Linked DNA regions of Coturnix japonica. The protein of the gene in region 2 interacts with the protein of the main gene of each other region in a pairwise test. Links are inferred from orthologs where the notes say so. Each region holds a gene or a part of one and is shown on either strand. Other genes may lie near its edges. The genes, in order: AGGF1 and MAB21L3.

What was found.
Region 1: the proteins of MAB21L3 (region 2) and AGGF1 interact in binary tests that used the Homo sapiens proteins (3 or more experiments, as listed by UniProt). The two-hybrid records come from large-scale screens. The link is inferred for Coturnix japonica from reciprocal best matches to the Homo sapiens genes MAB21L3 and AGGF1.

The regions. Positions count from the first base shown.
Region 1 is NC_029547.1:11,956,186-11,960,007, reverse strand, and holds part of AGGF1 (angiogenic factor with G patch and FHA domains 1), read right to left. Parts: intron 3,255-3,822; coding exon 3,153-3,254; intron 2,812-3,152; coding exon 2,646-2,811; intron 2,391-2,645; coding exon 2,308-2,390; intron 2,079-2,307; coding exon 1,951-2,078; intron 643-1,950; coding exon 543-642; intron 40-542; coding exon 1-39. UniProt on the Homo sapiens protein: Promotes angiogenesis and the proliferation of endothelial cells. Able to bind to endothelial cells and promote cell proliferation, suggesting that it may act in an autocrine fashion.
Region 2 is NC_029516.1:71,932,125-71,935,946, forward strand, and holds part of MAB21L3 (protein mab-21-like 3), read right to left. Parts: intron 3,021-3,822; coding exon 2,839-3,020; intron 2,161-2,838; coding exon 1,966-2,160; intron 722-1,965; coding exon 488-721; 3' UTR 1-487.

The DNA.
Region 1 (3,822 bases), on a different chromosome or scaffold from region 2:
ACCCAAACCTGCATGTGCCTTATGTAACTGAAGGTGGATCTGTTGAATACATTAAAGATTGTTACAAGTGTTAGGTATTCTAAATACTTAAAGTATACTAATACTAATTTACCTAGGTCATACACAAACATATAAAGTACTGTTAAAGTGTTAAATCATAATCTGTAATCTAGGTATCTGTGGCTTTGGCCAGTTTTTCCTCTCATTGGCTTCCTTCTCTTGTACTCACATCACTTACATAGACTCAATTTTCCTCCAGACTTTGTACTCAAATTGGAGATTATTAATCCAGTATCTCTCATCCTCCATTGTTTCCTAACAACCGTGAATATTACTGTCAGTTTCTACTGTGATTAAACCATTTAAAAACTTCAGACTACTTCACCGATAAAACTGATCTGAGGTTAGTCCTACTGAGATTACTCCCCTCCCACTAAGACTTCTGAAACATTTAAAGTGAATCATTGCTTATAATTAGACATTTTGTACTGCAAATGCATTTCTATTTCTTTGTACTCTAAGCAAAAACCAGAAACACTTACTGGATCCTTCATACCGCTGCCATCCTTGCCCAGACCTTCCCCTTTTTTCCATCCCATTTTCTCCAACATTTTGTGTCCTTTGTTGCTATCGCTGATTTCACTGTAAAGAAAGTTTAAGACTGATAAGCAAGAGTCAAAATATATGCTCTGTACTGAAATACTGAAGGATATGCAACTCTAGAAACCAGGACCCAACCACTCTTCCATCAAGAGCTACCCAGAAGGACCTGCTGCCTTCTTTGCAAGTTCCTGAATGCTTTGTTCAATTTTGGATCCCTCTCTACAAGGACATCCAGTTGCTCAAAAGTGTGAAGAGCAATGGAATGGTGAAGGACTTGAAAACAAAATTTATGAGGAGAATGGGAGGAAACTGGGGTTGTTCGGTCTGGATGCCAGAAGGAGACCTCAACTGCTCTCCACAAATATGTGAAAGACTGCAGAGATTTTGCTCTTTTTTCTCAGGTGACAAGTGACAGGATGCAAGGAAACAGTCACAAGTACTGTAGGTTTAGAATTTCTTCATGGAGATGGTGGTTAAGCACTGTAACGGGCTGCCCAGCTGAGAGGTAGAGTTCTCATTCTTGGAGGCATTTAAGAGATGCAGACATGGCACTAACAGACATGGTTTAGTCAGGGAACCTGGTAGGTCTGGCTGAAGGTTAGACTTGTTCATCTTGAAGGTCTTCTCCAACCTCCATGATTCTATGCTATTCTTCTCATAAATATACCAAAGCTATTCCAAGACTCTGGTCAATACCAGCCTTCTTAATTCCACATTCTATTTGCTGACTTTGGGACCTAAAAGATACAGCACAGGAGGGTGGGAATCAACTGCACTAATGAGAAGGCAGGACCACTGCTTCCCACGAAATCACTCAACACACATTTCATTGTCTCACATTTCCTTTTACTAACTTACCAGCACCTACAAGATCATGTTTCTTTAAAACAAGATAGCAACTAGAGAAGAAATAATTAAGAAGGAAGATTAAAATAAGTGTGACTGAAGAGGTAAAAATATACATACACTAAGAAATGCTGGATGAGTGAGCAGTAAAAAGAAATTATGCATAGGCAATCTTGCCTATGTGCCATTACTGGGATGAGACAAAAAACTGAGGCTATTCAAAGTGTCAGAGATGTCAGTAGTGCAATTGCTGAGTTCCATATCTTTTGAGATAGGACAGTGATTTAGCCATCATAACAGCCAAGCTGAATTCCGTAAGGAAAAGCAAGAAGTTAATATGAACTGGGAAGTGAGAATAGCTGTTTTCTAGTTCTCCTAATACACTGTATACAGGTAAGATAACGAACTGTATCTTAATAAGTAATTGATATTTACTGTAGTTCTGTACTATTCATTAGAGGACTCTGAAGATTTATTTATTTTCAACATCCACAAACTTACATATGTACAGAAGCTGGAGTATCTCCCCTCTGGAAAGTTCCTTCACTTCCAATGGTCTCTCTGCGTTTTCCTGCCCTGTCTTTGTACTTTGGATTATTCACTGCTTTGTTGTCCTCATACTCTGTATTCTTTAAAACAAAATAAAGACAAACAATATTTAGATTCTTTATTTCTGATGACCTCCCTGCTCTGTCTTCAGAAATCTGTAAATAATGATTTAGTGTACAAATGACATGCTTGAGTTAAACCACGAGACTCATGACTCCGAAAGCTTTCTTTATTCACTGAAATTTACTGCTTAAACAGGAATCACAGGGTAGGAGTAGATCTCAAACACTTAATTTTCTGTAAACTCACCTGTAAACCATATTTGACCCGTATTTGTTTTAATGCTTTTCTTCTGACCAACTCTCTCTCTTCTTTGCTAAGTGCTGGGCAAACTAAAAGGAAGAACACAGGATTCAATTTCTAATTAATAGTGTAACTCTTTTCCACCATAAGACAAAATTTTATTCTAAGATTATTACACAGACACATGCCAAAAAGAAAACATATTATTGTCTATTTCAGAGCTATTCTCAGTTGAGAAGAAAATCGTAACAGAACTCTGATATATATACACATATTATTTATAAGATAAAAATCAATGATAATACTAAAAAACCCCCACCATATTCAAAGATAAGGTAACTAACCAGAAGATTCTTTTTTCTTATCCAGGCGAAGATGTGCTCTGACTTGACCCGGTTCACATCCATCACAAGTGTCACTGCCAGGATGTATATGAAAAGAAAGCACAGTTTCACCAATCTTCACTTCATCACCGTGCTCCAAGATGTATGGATCACATTTCGTTTTAGGCTACAGCAAAAGAAAGTTTTGGCAGCCATAGTTATTAGTTACTAATGCAGGGCACCAATGCTATTACATGAATACTGCTCATAATTTACTGATAAAGTCTGAAGTAACAAATGCAGGTAAACGTTTAAAATACAGTGGGTTCTTCACTCTAGCAACTCCAACAACAGTAGATTTTTTTCTAATTCCTAATATAAAGCCAATGTAAAACATAAAGAATGGCCCTAGGACCTGAAGGAGATTGAAGAACAACAATATTGTTAGCAATTTGCCATGACACATTTAAAATAACCACACAATTAGTTTTCTGCAATGTACACAGCACCGTAGCAGCAAATACTCACCTGTAAAATCTGATTTCCATTAACAACTGTTCCATTCTGACTGCCTTGATCCACAAGAACATAATTTTGCAAATCATGGTCAAAATATATTTCTGCATGGAACTGATAAATAGAAAAGTGAAATGTTCTCATTAAGCAAATACTTGACAACTTAAATACTGTTTTAAAGTAAGATTTCAGAATGTATTTGCGAGCCTAAAATATATAAATATACAAATATATAAGTATAAATATATATATATAAATATTGAAACATTATTAGCTATGCTATTATTAGCTATGCTAAGAAGCAGAAGGGAAAATATAAAAACTCTTTGGCTGTTTTATAACCCAGTTTCATATACAAGCCAGAAAATGTCATCAATAGCAGGAAAAGATTATCTCTAAAAAATTTTCAGTATAAAATGTTACGCTGCTTATTAGTTAGAACTATCACCTAGAACAGACATAGCAAAGCTTATTTAAGATCCATGCATTTGCAGGTGTTTTATCGACTTTTTTGTTAAGATTATAGGTCTTAAACTTACACTGAATTAAGAGAGCTATATTTACTGTATTTACAGTCTGTGTTGCAGTAGTTAGCAAACTTGAGCAAATAATTTATTTTTAATCCTTCTTAATTCTATAACAATGTAACTTCAAAAAAACTGGTATTTTCAAACGCTCTGTA
Region 2 (3,822 bases):
CTTTTCTTAATATTAAAAGCGCTGGGAATATTGGAGCTATGAGCCCTTGAAAAAGTATTCTCCTCCTATGCAACACCCCAAAAAGACACGGGCACTTTAAACAACCACCATCCATGTGCTAGGTTGCACAGCAGGTAGGTAGCAGAGTGAGACTTCTTTGCACCGTCTTTCTGCTTATGTGCCACGAGATTGGAGACAGAGAATAAGGCAGTTGCTGCTCTGACTGACACAGGGTTGAGTTTCACAGGCTGTAGCTTCTAGGCAAGCTGTTGCTGTTGAAAGCAAATTAGATAGGCTGGGCATCAAGCAATGCCTTCCATCAGTTTTCTCCACCCACAGCTGCAATCTTGACATTTTGTTCATTCCATCAGTGCCAACTGCCTCAGAAAGCCAGCTGCAACACCTCCTGGAAGGACAAGAACACCATCAATGAGGAGAAGAGGTGGGGAAACTGCTCAAATTTGAGGTGAGGAAGCTTTCTTCAGCCTTAATCCAAGCAGAAGGCCGGGTTCTCTAAGAAGACAGCAAGCTTGCTGGCCACCGTGTCCAGGTCACTGGTGTTGGCATATTTGAGCAGATTGGTGTTCTTGACAAAGTAATGCTTGAGGAAGTGCTGGCTCACACACTTGTGCAGCTTCTGCACCAGCCTCAGGAAGGCTTCGTGAAAGCAGCGCCAATCCTTGGTGCGTGGGTATTTTTCACACGTCCAGAATAGCACTGTCTGCAAGAAGCAGATGGGAGAGAAGAGGTGTTAGAGGTTCTGCCGAGGGCTCACACGGCTTGCTAAGGCAGTTTAAGTGCTGGTAAGTGGCTGACAGCCTTGGAAACTGGAATGCCTGGCACTGCAGTCTTCCTGCATTAACGATTCTGCAACAAAGGGATCACAACCAACAACCTAAGGGAGAGCCCTTTCACCTTCCCCTGGCTGCCCCCTTCCCTTTGCCTTGCAAACCTCACTGGACACACCAAGGATCCTGCACAGATGGCCAGAGCAGGCAGGGAAGGAGGATTTGCAAAGGCCAGGGACCTCCACAGAAATGCCAGGTGTTTTAAGCTGTAGAAAATGGTCTATTGTACAAGTGTAGAAGCCAGTAGGTGCAAGGAGGGAGAGAATAATAATCGTATGAGCATAGCTGTTAGCTTCAGCCATACTTGTGCTGAAGATGCACACAGATTTGCTTTCTGAATGTACTGGGATTCCAAGCAACTCTTGCCTGTTTTCTTCCGACACACAATACAGCATGTGTTATGATCTCTTTCTTGCAGTTTATTTCATGTAATATGATAGAATCATAGAATGGCTTGGGTTGTAAGGGACCTCAAAGACCATCTAGTTCCAACCCCCTACTGTAGGCAGTGTTGCCAGTCACTAAATAAAGACCGACCAGGAACCCATAAAGCCTATCCTTGAATGCCTCCAGGGTGGGGCATTCACAGCTTCTCTGGGCAGCCCGTTCCAGTGCTTCACCACCCTCTAAGTGAAGAACTTCTTGCTAACGTCTAACCTAAACCTCCTCTCTATCAGTTTAAATCCATTCCCCTTTGTCCTATCACTATCTACCTGCATAAAAAGAAAAATCAATAGATAAAAAAAATGAATTCCATATGATTACTGCTCCCATGGTATTATTTTTATCCTGCCCATACTGCATTTTTACAGATGTTGCTATGTTTGTGAAGAATTTTTTTGGAGGTACTTACAGTTATTGTACTAAAAAAAGCAATATTGACCATCTTAATCAACCTGAAAATCATTTCTAAAACAAAAAATTCACTAATCTTGGGTGCAAGAATCCCACTCAGTTTCTTAGTGTTCTCTCTACAGGCAGTTGTTACAATGAAGTTTCCAGAGGTAAGGAAAATAGTGCTGCTATTCCAGTCAGGTCTTTCAGACTTCCTAATTATGAACATCATTCCCCTATAACAGATACTGAGACTGTATCTTGATATCATAGTGATGCCTACCTGAAGGTGATAAGCTGTGATGACAGGCTTATTTCCAGCACACCAGACATCCTCCTTCATCTGTCTCATGACTCTGAAGCATTTCATGCGGCAACCACCATCTTCGTCGAGGCCTTCCATGAGCATATGCTCAGCACGGGAGAAGCACAGCTGCCAGTGATAATTGGAGCGGGCCAAGAGGTCAAAACCAAGTGACTGTGGACAAAATGGAAAGTGTGACGCTAGATCGGAGAGGCAGATTTCTCTGAGTAATGCAGAGGGATGTTGCATGCTAGCAGAGGCAGCAAACATGGTTAATGCTCCCATTGTAACTCCTGATTGATGAAACAAGCAATTTGTTTTGTTTCCTCATGTGGTGACATTGGTTACTCCCAGGAGATTCAGCTCTAGAGGTGCCAGGTGCAGTACAAACAGTGCTGCTAAAGCTGAGGCACAGCTCTACAGGCACTTTGCCATGGAGCAGCAGGTCATGAGCAAGTAGGGAGCCAGACTGGAAGTCAGAACTCGATGTGTGAGATCATGGCAAGTAGAGCTGATCTGGAGTGCCAGAATCTAGCCAAGGGGAGGAACAGGAGAAGGGCAGAAGGAAAATGTTGAGATAGTGCTCCACTTGCAGAAAGATCACATGAGACAAAGCAGAACAGCAAGAAAAAATGCACTCAGTTAAATGGCCAGAGCTATTTGCAAGAAACTCATGTAACAGACAGTTAAATCAGTTTTCCCTCCAGAGAATTCACCATCATTAAGGAAAGAAATTCTCAATAAAATCCAAATAATTTGAAATATTTCTTCTCTACAGCCTTCCAAACCACCATCACATACCTGCAAAGGAAATTTCTGCACAGACCTTACAGTTGTCTTTAGACTGCTCACCTTGACGCACTGCACTTTTTCCTGGGATGGCCAACGCTTGAGGCAACGAGGCCACCGAGCTTTCTCAGGCCAGCAAGTTGGAATCTCCACCGTAGGGGCCAGCTCCACCTCAACCTGGAATTTTGATGTTTCCACAGCCACTCGCACAACTGAGCTGAAGCTCTCCAGCACCGTCACTTTGTCTGTCAAGGAACAACGTGAAAGGTGATAAAGGTGAATAGGTCCTCTCCTCAAGCCAAGCAAGGGGCTGCGTAGTGCCCATGTCCAAATTGAGACTTGCAGTTCCATTGCTGTCTTCTCTTCAGTGACATAGTGGAACACAAGAAAAAGCTTATTTCAATCTGCCCAGAGGTAGGAGGACAGAGGAGAAAGTAAATATGGGCAATGCTGGTCCAACTGTGTGCATGGAAGAAGCTTCTGTCCCTGTCATTCAGGATGGATCACTGTTCCTTCAGCTTTGCTGTCTGAGCCAATGATGTGATCATGCTTTAACCCACTGAAGTAAATACAAAGCAGATTACCATAAGCAGTTTAAGTAATTGTGTGTTAATCCACCTCAATTCGACTGACACTGGCTAGGAATTCCAGTTCCAAAAGGAGTCCATGCAGCAGACTTGAAGGAGCAGTGATGAACATTTAGGATGGTAACAACTTCTGTTTTCACAGAAGAAATATCCACTGAGTGCCATCAGAGGAGGTGAAATATGTTTATGTTTCAAGAATACAGAAGACCCATATCAGGCTGCTGATGGGTAAAGACATTCTGGAAACACGATGTGAGAAAAGGCACCATAGTCTGATCTTGACCATGTCACAGTATCTTAATGTGAAAAGATGAACACAAACCGTTCAGCTTGGATGAAGCCATGTGTTCATTAGCTGAAGTCTATAACATGCCTTTAGGACGCTCAGAATTAAATATGAGGATCACTGTTTAGGCAGCATTTTGCTGCAGATGTCGCAGCTATGAAGGTATGTTGCACG